3 linked regions of the Oryzias latipes genome follow. The protein of the gene in region 2 interacts with the protein of the main gene of each other region in a pairwise test. Links are inferred from orthologs where the notes say so. Each region holds a gene or a part of one and is shown on either strand. Other genes may lie near its edges.

Region 1 (3,519 bases), on a different chromosome or scaffold from region 2:
GTTTCTTTCCCCTTACAGTTCCTCTGTGTATGTGCAGAAAGTTTTGTGTGCTGCGATCATGCCGATCACTGCTTGTCATTGGTTCCTCCCTCGCAGTAAAGCCTCATTTGTTGGTAAATAGTAGAAAACCAATCAAGTTGATTGTTTTTTATTATTATTATTGATTTCTAATAAATGACCAACAACAACAGTGACTGTCAGTATTTCCAGATAACACACAGTTCAGTTGCATAGATTCTCCTCCAGATTATAATCTGCCTTTTCCCTCGGCATCCTTCTTCTCTCTGGATTATTTAGCTGCAAACAAGATTATTAGCTCCACCTAAAGCTTCTGTGTGCTGAGAAATGCAACCACATTGATGAGCCTGAGCTTAGGGGTCTTTGGGGGTGGGGTAGCGATGTGACAGCGGTCGTGTGTGTGTGTGTGTGTGTGTGTGTGTGTGTGGGTGTGTGTGTGTGTGTGTGTGTGTGTGTGTGTGTGGGGACCACATATTCACCCTTAATGCAAAGGATTAGCACAGACCCTCTGTGATAGGATGCGATCGATCCTAATAGGATGAAGCGGGTTTATGGGATTTCTGCAGTGAGTGAGAATCCCCCCAACTTTAGTTGTGTTTGTTTTTGTGTGTTCTTTTTGTGTGTCGCTGCTCTTTGATTCTCCCTAACTCCTGCTCTTCTCTCCACAATGCTGTCGGATAGTTTACAATCAATTCAGCACTCGGCTAGCATGCCTGTCATAAGGTAAGAGCGGCCAAAGCGGTTTACGTTGACGCGGCAACAACACAGAGGACGCGCGCCTTGAATTAAACATGAGCGTGTTTGTCAGCAGCAGCTTCTTATCCCATGTTTTCAGAGCAGGGGGGACCACTGCTGTGCTGCAGTGTCCCTCCACCTGCTACTGTGAGATCAGGCCCAGCAGCAGAAATCAAACTGGAACACGGATAAAACCTGAGGCAGCCTCAGGAACCGAGTCGGTTCAAAGAACCAGACTTCAGTCTAAAGCCAACAGGGTTTTGGTCTGGGAAACCCTGTTTCATCCTGTATTCTCCCAAAGAGGACAATAAGGAAGTGTGCATGTGGAAAATGAAACTGTAATTAATCTCAAACGTTCTTCCGCTTTAAGGATATTTGGTCTGTTTATCTGCATTTTGTTTTAAATTTTTATACAGAGGCCAGATCAGTTAACCTGTCAGTAAATAACTAACTTTTGTGTCTTTCTTTTCCCAGAAATGCACCAACCTTCAAGTCTTTGGAGGAGAAAGTTGAGACACTGAAGGTAACGGATGAATAAAGTCACTAACCTGAAATCAGCAGAAATGTTTGGGTCCAGCAGTGCAGAAAGCTTGGAGCCGGTTCCTGTCTGAACTGAACAACTCAGGTGTTTTTAACATCTGTTTGTTCTGATGGACAGAATATATGAAGAGATTTAAGCTTAAAACTGCATTTCTGAGTATTTCTTTATTTAAATCATTGCAAATCAGGAGCAGAAGAATAAATGCAGTTTGAAAAATAGCATTTTTGTGATGCCAGGAGGGCCACAGGGTCCCTGCTCCGCTCCATTCTGATGCATCCACTTGCAGACGTTTAGATCCATGAACGTCTTTGTTTTCCTCGTCTGAGCTGGAATCTGGATCAAATCTGGACAGCTCCCACGTCGCTTGCCGTTTTCGTGGGAGCTAGCTGTCCCACACAGATGGATCTCAGAAATGGGTGGGGTAGCGCCGTGCCAACAGTCCCACCCACAACGCAGAGGCGAATTTCTTATGAACCACACCTGCTCTGCAGAAACGATACAGGTTTTTAAAACTTTTGGCTAAATTTAGCTACATCATCATCACTGGGAACGTTTGTACAACAGATCCAAAGAGGAGCCATTTTTATTTTCAAGCAAAAACTTTCGTTCGGTCATCATTTCTGTGAAAACGGATAGTTTTAAATTGGTTTTAGAATGAAGAACTGAAAAATGTGTCAACACCATTAAAAGCTGAAAAATGTAGTATTAATGCTGTAAATCTAGCACGATTACCTGGTTATGTTTGAGGAATTAACCAGTTTTTTGATTTTGTTTTTGACCACATTGTCAGATTTTTTTCAAGTAGATGCTAAATTCGTTTGAGATGGTTTATGGAAGCGGTTTGATGTCTTTGCATCAATCGGTTATGTGAGGTTTCAATTCAAACTGTATTTGTCTGCAGACTGTTTCAGCAGAAATGTCGTGTTGCATTATTTCTGAGGGAATTTGACATTTTATTGTTTTTTTTAAAAAACAAAAAAAAACAAAATTAAGTTTTGTTGTTGTTTTTCCTCTGCAGACCAAAATCACTCCATCAGGACCCGGCAGTGATCCCAGTAACCCTGACAGCCAGGACGATCCTCCATCTGAGTCTCTGGGGGGTCAGCCGGAAGACCCTCCCACTGAGGACACGCCGATGAAATGAGACCAGCCTCCATCCTCATGTGACCCCCCCACCACCACCACCACCCCTCGTGTGCCAGTCTCCCTTCATTGGAACCAAGTGACTCACCAGCCTCCCCTGTGATCTAATTGTCTGATCGCTTCTCCAGCTTCTACACACTGAGCATGCTCAGACTGCTTGCATGGGGAACCCTTCCTGTATCTTTTTTTTTGTCGCCATTATTTTCCCTGCACTCCTTTTTGTTTTTTCCATGTTTGTACAAAATGCCAAACGTGTTCCAGTGAAGTTTATCTCGATCAAATCCTGCTCCTTCAGTTGTTGAAGATTGCACAATGACAAAGGTGTTCTCTATCAGAAGACATTCTGTTCGTGTGAAGACATTAGTTAACTTACTGTGTTATTAGACCATATATTGCTTAGGTGATGTTAAAAATCTCATGTTCGTTTTAGGGCCGCTTTGGATCATTTTGGGATTTATTGGCCAAACTGTTGGGTTTTTCTTCAGTGTGTTGATTTCTGAGACCCATCAGAAGCATAAAGTATTGTGAAGCACTATGTCCAAGCAATGAACGTATGCTTGTTTTGTGCTAAAAGTACAAAAAAGTGTGTCGCTTGCACCGCATTTGGAAGGAAATGTTCACACAGCTTGTTGTAATTTCAGAATCAAACCCCCGTTTTCCTCTGCAGAGATCAGCACAGCAGTGGTGGGGGGGGGGGGGGGGGCAAACACATAGCGAAGCTTCAGCCTTGACCTGAGGTGAGGCTGGAATAACCGTCTGTTCTGCAGCCAGCGAGAGTCAATATTTAAACACTCGTTCATTGTTCCTGCCAGGGAGGCGACAGCAAGCCTCCACACATTCTGTGTGATACATTAAACAAAGGCATGGCAAAGGGAGCCGCACTGGGTGTTCAGCACCCTGATGCAAGACAGAAACATCACAAAGAAGGTGCAACGTCCTCCGTTTTTCTCACGCGAGTCACGTCCAAATGAATACTCTGTTTACTGCTGCATTACATTGTTACAGTATTTAAAGAGCTCATTTTCTCTAGATTCAATCAAAGTCAGAGAATCATCTCGTCTGCGAGAACTGCTGTTGTTAAA
Region 2 (4,118 bases):
GCTTGTACCTCCTTGGTCTTTCATTATGTCCCAGTCGAAAAAAACCTGAACTTAAACTTATTCCCATAATTGGTTTTGGGTTGTTCGTAAACATTTTAATCCACGTTACATCCGTCGTCTTTTATGCTATCAAAGCCAAAAAAATGAGAGGTTACTGCCTCAAGTGACAAAAACATATAGATTATATTGATTAAAAACACTCTATGCTCTTAAATGAGCCAGTATTTTAATAAAACTCAAACTGTAATTGTAAACTGATCAATTTTCTTTATAAACATATAAATGAACAAATCAATTAGAAATGGTGAATCTGTGTTGCAACCTCTTGTACATGTGTGTGTGTGTGAAATAAAAACGTGAATGAAAAAATCGCACACATTAATTGGTTTCATTCAGGGAAAAGAAAAAGCTTTACTTCAGCTCATAAGCTAAGTTAAGAAAGTGCAGTGGGTTTTTTTTTTTGTGTAAGTTTTTCTCATGTAAAATCACTGAATTCGTGTTTTCGTTAACATTTCAATCCACAATATGTTCGCCGTTATTTTCTATTAAAGCCTCTAAAAAAATTTAAACTCCCGCCCCGCTGCCTCACTGGATTTGACATACAGATTTCTGCCAATCAGATCAACCAGAAAGGTTACTGCCCCCAAGTGACAAAAACACCCCCTGAACACTTCGCGCAAACCCAGCGAGCATGCAGGATCGCCACTCGGTTAAGATTGCAACTGTGCAGTTGTAAAATGCGGGGTCGCTCGGTTGAAATTGCGCAGTTATAAGTTTCGCTCAGTCAGTCCTTATCTTTGCGCTTGATAAAATTAGTGGCAGCCATGAAACGCCATAGACATGAAACAGAACACCAATGGGGTACCTCTCTGTGTGGAGTTTGCATGGGCTTTTTCTGGGGACTCCAGCTTCCGCCCACCTCCAGAAACATGCTTCACATGTTAATTAGTTACTCTAAATTAGGCCTGCACAATAAATCGCAAATTTATTGTTATCGCGATGCATTATCGCTGTGCATTATCCATATCACAAAAGACAGCTAAAATCGCAATAAAAGGTAAACCTTAAATGTGCTAAAAAAATCTTATGGCCACTTGAATCATAAGAATTGAATACATAATTGAATAAATCCCTTGATACCAATCAGATGGAGCCTTTCACATTGCTAACCAATCCGATGGAGCTTTTATGTTAGATGTTGCCCTCCTAATTAGACGAGGGTCATTTGGAGAATAATTAAAGGCATTTTGACTCTTATTTAAATTAAACTGTTCAGTGAAATGGAAATATTTTTGTTGATTTTGCTATTTGTTCATTTATTGCAAGTTATATCGTCATCGCAATATTGATCACTAATATCGCAAGTTTTCCTCTTATCGTGCAGCCCTTCTCTAAATTGTCCCTAGGTGTGAATGTGGGTGTGCATGGGTGTGTGATTGTGGTCCTGTGACAGACTGGCGTCCAGGATGTCCCCTGCCTTTGCCCACGAGTGGCCTTGATAGGCTCCGGCAGCCCCATGACCCCAAAAGGGACAATCCAGGTTTAGCAGATGAATGATTGAAAGTACACTTTCTTCCTGTAATTGAGGACAAGGCATGTATGCAGTTCAAGAGGTAAATATGAAAATATTTTTCTGCAATGGTTGGATTTGTTCTCCTGCTTAATGCTCCCCTTTACTAACATGAGCTGAAAGTTTTAAGTGTATGGCATCTATGTGAAAATTGTCATGCATCATTTGAACAGTTACCCCGAGGCACTCAATATCTTGGCAAATTAATTATACCACGTAAGTGTTATTGCATTTTAGTTGGTGAATAATTGAAAAACTTTGGCCATTTTGGCATCTTTGCTGCTTGTTTTCTCTCTCAATCTTTTTAAGGAATTTACTTAGCCCTTGATTAAAATGTCCAATTTTTTATGATTCTTTTGAAGCAAAGTATCATAAATTGTTAGTTCATAATGCATTCTTCTCTGATCATCCTTATTAGGTAAGTTTTCTTTTTCACAAAACCAACTAAAAGCATTATTTTAGTGGGTGGGAAGTTCAAGGGTTAACATCAACCAGGCTCACACCTTAATAGCCACAGATCGGCAATTAATTCTTTGAATGTTTCCAACATATGCTCTTCCTTTTCTGCACAAACTAAGGCATCAAGATAAGTAGTAAAATACCTGTTAGATTAGATTAGAGCTTTCATGGAAGTGCTGTGCAGAGGTCACCTTGTATGTTTATGACACAATAATGTAGACACAAACCAAAACTCACTTGTGGTCTTCTTCTATAATTTTATATTAAAGGACGTGACTTTAGCGCACGACTACAAATGTGCAAAAGTCGCATCCCTAAGAGACATGATGTCGAATGAGCAGATACAGTTTGCAACAACAGTAACAAACTAAACTATAGACAAAAACTGATTCCTAACAGATTTTACTATATATTAGTAATAAGGATGTGAATAAATATAGAATAAAACAACCGCTTGTAAACAATCACTCACTATTTCTATGCAGATGAGAACTCCAGAATAAGTCCGTAACACACCCAAACCCAGAGGTAGAGAAATGGTTGCCGTCGGGAAGGAGGTGGCGGCGGCGGGGTCCACCGGGGCAGCGGTGGCGGCGGCGGGGTTAGAGGCTGGCTCCGACATTTTTCACCTCTCCTTGTATCTCCTTGCTCTCTGAATAACTAAGCTCTCTGAATTTACCCGTTAAACAAAGGACGGGCACAGAGGCAGAAATTCCTGCGGAATCATGTGTCCTCGAACAGGTCGGACAGGTGCAGCGGCCACTCCCTGGATACGAGGGATGCGTTCAGGGACGTCTCGGAAGATCCCACATCACAATATCCATTTTATAAAACAAGGACGGGTTTAAAAAGTTTATTATAAATATATTATAAACGTGTTCTGGTATTGTTATTACATTGTAGTCTTGTGTAGTCAACTAAATTAGTAGTTTGACTAAAATAAGTAGAAAAAGCCCCTTTATTTTGTCCAATGTTCTACAGGAAAAGTGTTGGGAAAATCAATTATTTGGAATAACCTACATTTTATTTAACATTTCTGAAAGAAAATCTCGCATGTGTCAAACAGGCACGAGTAAAACATATATGAGGCACTTCTTCAAGTTTTTCCACACTTTTATTATTAGTGTTTGATATTGCCAACTCTGAAATTTGCATGATTATGCTTTTATCAAATGCCCTTTGGCCCTGTAACGATCAAGGATAGCAGTTTTCTTCCTTTTTCTTATTAGGAATCACTATGTGTTTCACAACCCTGTTCCTTAAGCATCCCTGCCCAGAGTGTTTTACTGCTTTTCTCTGTCAAACACACCCAACTCAAATAAATGACTCATTCTCAAGTCATGATTAAACTCAGGAGCTTAATCAGGTTTGTTAGACAAGAGGAAAACTTGACCAGACGGTGTTGGGAAACCTAAATCTTTATAAACCTAAACATGATTTAAAAAAAAACCTGCTTTAAAAAAATAGAAATGACCTAGATAACATTGAAAAAAAAGTTTACTTTTATATTGTAATTTCACCAAAGACTTTTAAAGGAACACAAATGTTACTAAAATAACACTTGTATGGTGTCCTGTGAAATAAATGACAGATTTAAACTGAACCACTGGGCTGTCATGGTGAAAAAGCACAGTTTTTATGATAAACCACTGTCAATGATTAGCTTGAGTTTAGATTATGTTAACCAATGTTGGTTTAACCTCCAAGAGGGCACTGTTCATTTTTAGTGGACTGAATCTTTTCCCTTGTATAGTCAAAGTCTATTTTTCATTGTTTGTGATGAGTTTTTTTCTTGTTTTATACTAGTTTTGATTTGGATTCTCTTCATAAAACCTTTAAAAGGCTCAATGGTTTTTCAAAAATAACACATTCAGAGGTCAAACAGTCGTTCATTCTTTCATCTCCTAAGCCGTTTTGTCCTTTTCGGGGTCAGGGGGCTGCCAGAGCGTGTCCGGCCACTTGTGGGCGAAGGCTGGGGACACCCTGGACAGGTCACCAGTCTGTCGCAGGGCGTCAAACACTATTAATTTTACATTTATTTCATTTATAAGAAAATGTACTCACTGTTTAGTTTAAAATATTAAAGGGC
Region 3 (3,519 bases), on a different chromosome or scaffold from region 2:
ACACTGCTGCCAGCCTGTAACTACTAGGTATAATGTAGGGTTCAGTGTGTTGCCCAAGGACACTCCAAAACATGAGTTGGTAAGGCGGGAACCGAACCTACAATCCTCCGATCAGAGGTCAACTGCTCTACATTGGCGCCAAAGCTGCCCCATCTAACACAGATGCCAGAGGCTCCCTGTGCACAGGTGAGGTGGGTGTGGTCTATTCATTTTGTACACCCCAGTAAACGAAACGCTTGGTTTTATTGATCACTGAATAATTTGGATGACTTGGAGTAGGATTTTGTTTCATAGACGAGATGTTTTGCTGTATTTCAGATTAGGATTTTGACCAGAAGAAAAATCCCACACTGAGCTCAGTGATAATCTGCCTTTGGGCTCTTTAAGATGGTACTTTCAGAGCTTCAGTCTCACCCAGACGAATCAGTTTGTCTATTTGGTTATAGAAAGTCTTCAAAGCTATGGATTTCATTTGAATTTTCCTTTTTAAATGATCCCTTTTAAAAGAAAACACAGAAATCTTTCAAATCTAACAGAAGTGCTTTAACCACTTAAAAAGTAGAAGAAACTGCTTTAATAATCAATTCATGTTTTTGATCATTTTCTAGAAGTACTGATATGATAAATTGATTTATTTAAGCCCCGCCCCAATATTTCGGTGACCTGCTTGACCTCTCTGCTTTTCGCCTCGGCTTGCATTCATCTCTGGACGTTTTATGGTAAAACTTGATGAGAATGTTCTGCTGCCGTGGCTCCGCTCACCCTGTAACTGTGGAAAAGTTCGATGGCCCGGAGAACGTCAAACTTGCGCGCCATGAGGAATTTGATAGCCAGTTCCTTGGACAGTGGAGACACGCCATGCTGAATGGTCCACTTGTTGATTTCCTCCAGAAACTGCCTGGTGGCCTGAAAAAAATAAATAAAGATAAAATAAAAACCCCACAGATGTTACAAGACTTTAAACCTGATGCATCTTCTGAGAGAAAAACAACCACAGAACGTTCTGGTAAAAACCATTGACGATGTATGAGAAATTGACAGATTGAGATGATGGGTGATGTCACCCATAGAAATGTGCAAACATCCAGCTCCAACCAAATGAACTCACTTCACATGCCATTATTTCACGAGCCAGACGTCGTCAGTCTGTAAGCAGCGATTGGTCCAAGTTAGTCTGAGTCAGCGTTTCTATGGCAACCAATCTCACCAATCACGAGTGAAGTTGTTGAAAGTCCACACCTCGACAACTTAAAAAAATGGAGGCATCTGACTAGTCGGTTAATAAAGAAAAAATATCACAGAAAAAATAAAATAAATTATCAAGAAAAAAAAAAACGATTATATCCAGTATGTTGTTTTAACAAGTAGATTGAGTAATAGCAGTTTATTTTTAAATAGAGGTCTATAGGATTTTGGTTTTTGGGTACTTCCTGTTTTGAATGTGAGGGGGGAGGAGTCACTCAGTCTAGATCTTCTATAGTCAATGGCAAAGAGGTGAATAGAAGTGTTGCTTGTTCGTGGCACACAGCAGAAGATAAAAACATGTGGTGTCATTTGAGGAAGGATGAGCTGCTATAATAGCAGGCTGTGCTCACTAAAGAGCTCTAAGTGCACTTTGCTGTGAAACTGTGTAGGTGTGGAGTCCTGAAATAGAAGCCAGTGGTTATTTGTTGGCTTGGTGAGAGATGGCACTGACATTTGTTAAAAAAAAAAAAAGAAGAAAAAAAAAGTGATTTCTATCTATGATGAGGCGGAGGTTCATCTTGCCTTACGGACCCACTCCAATGAAAATGGCATTTTTAAAATGTTCTTGAGGAATTTTTGTCACGGAGGACATATATATTACGAAAAATCAAGATTTAGCCAAAACATTAAGCTTAAAACAACAGTCCCGCCCACCACTGAGAGGCAAACTTCTGGTGAAGTCCTGCCACTCTGCAGAAACTATGTCCTAAAAAAATGACAGATTATTTTAAAATTTCGGGTAAAAACTGCATTATCATAATTAAACTTGGATCAAAAGATGACCAGAGTGGGTCTTTAAGGCGTGGTCTTGTTAAATGTCAGCTATTTCAGCACTTTTCACACCATGTGGTTGTATCTACAGCCTTCTGCCTTCCTTCCACTTACGGGGCTTGGACTCCATACGTGTGCATTTAGCCAATTACTCTATTAAGGCTTTCTGCAAGTACAATTCCCCCCACCTGACCAGCCAGTGAGCACTGAGTGAATCCTCAGTCGGCAATGAAAGCTCGCACTTTAAACACAGGCCTCTCCTCTCTGCTCTCTCACACCCACACACACACAAACACAGAGCAGTGATGAGGCATGCACGAGAGACAGGAAGTCAGGTTCTGGGAATCCACGGCCCTCCGGCAGCACAAAAAGATCCCTGACGAGCTCGGGGCCTGAAGACAGGATGCCACTGTGTCTCTGCAGGAAAGCCAGTGCTTTCAGAGGCTGGAGGGCCCGCCGCATCGTACATGGTAAAGAAGCCTCTGCATTCAAGAGGGGAAGAGGGGTGTCTGCACCTGATGGGGCTGAGGCCAGTTCGTCGGGGTTGTATCAAAGAGCAAAGTTTACGTTGAAAAGCTCCTGCACTCCAAGATTCAATTTTACACAAAAAAGGTTATTCAGTTCCAACCTGTGGGGAAAGTCACTGTTCGTACCAACTGGAAAACTAATGATGAATTGATAACGACATGTTGAGAAAAACGAGAAAAACAGATTGCTTTCTCTCTTGGCCTTTTAAGGACAGACTGCCAACGCCAAGCAGTGACCTTCAGTTCCTGGAGAAGCCACTCCTGTCTGGCCATTTCTTTCCAGCAGCCAGGACCCTGAAGATGAAGCGGTTTGTTTTTAGAAAAGCACAGCAGACTTCTCCAATCAAATCTTGAAGGATGCATAAATATTTGTTTAAAAAAAAAAAAAACACCACTTCCTGTTTACACCTTGTTGACTCTGAAAATGACCAGTGATTTCGAACACCAAACAGAAGAGGTTGTGACTCTCCAACGCACAGCGGACATTACATAATCCTGTTAGCGGTCTGACTGTCTCCACCGATGACTAATTGATTAACTTTCACCACACAGGCAATGCCTCAGAACGACCCAGACCAATCGCTGCTTACCGACGATGTCTGGCTCCAACATGGCAATGTCCATGTCTCAAAAAAATGGTGAATAGGGGCGTCCGGTTCTGAAGCAGGGGCCCTCCGGCTCACACAGGAAATGGAATAGGCAGATAAGGCACTTTCTGCTGGCCAGATGATGAAGAGTCAGCAGAAAGGGTAGGCACAGAGAAGACACTGCAGAGTAAACCAACATGGCAATGTCTGCGTCTCAAAAAAAAAAAAAGGTGAATGAATGGACTTCATTTCATTGGAGTTGGGAGTGAGCCATTTTCTATGGGTGACGTCACACTCATCCGGTCCAGTTCTCTAATACAGTCAATGGTTCCAAAACTGGATGGCTGGGTGGAACAAGGTAAAGTGAGACTTTAAGTCGGTCTCTCCAC

What was found.
Region 1: the proteins of mal2 (region 2) and tpd52 interact in a two-hybrid assay, tested with the Homo sapiens proteins (2 studies listed by BioGRID and IntAct). The link is inferred for Oryzias latipes from reciprocal best matches to the Homo sapiens genes MAL2 and TPD52.
Region 3: the proteins of mal2 (region 2) and ptpn9 interact in binary tests that used the Homo sapiens proteins (3 or more experiments, as listed by UniProt). The two-hybrid records come from large-scale screens. The link is inferred for Oryzias latipes from reciprocal best matches to the Homo sapiens genes MAL2 and PTPN9.

Annotation. Positions count from the first base shown.
Region 1 is NC_019869.2:23,407,832-23,411,350, forward strand, and holds part of tpd52 (tumor protein D52), read left to right. Parts: intron 1-699; coding exon 700-741; intron 742-1,227; coding exon 1,228-1,276; intron 1,277-2,312; coding exon 2,313-2,438; 3' UTR 2,439-3,519.
Region 2 is NC_019874.2:10,913,664-10,917,781, reverse strand, and holds the start of mal2 (protein MAL2), read right to left. Parts: upstream 2,813-4,118; 5' UTR 2,652-2,812; coding exon 2,502-2,651; intron 1-2,501. UniProt on the Homo sapiens protein: Member of the machinery of polarized transport. Required for the indirect transcytotic route at the step of the egress of the transcytosing cargo from perinuclear endosomes in order for it to travel to the apical surface via a raft-dependent pathway.
Region 3 is NC_019864.2:10,375,708-10,379,226, reverse strand, and holds part of ptpn9 (tyrosine-protein phosphatase non-receptor type 9), read right to left. Parts: intron 907-3,519; coding exon 763-906; intron 1-762. UniProt on the Homo sapiens protein: Protein-tyrosine phosphatase that could participate in the transfer of hydrophobic ligands or in functions of the Golgi apparatus.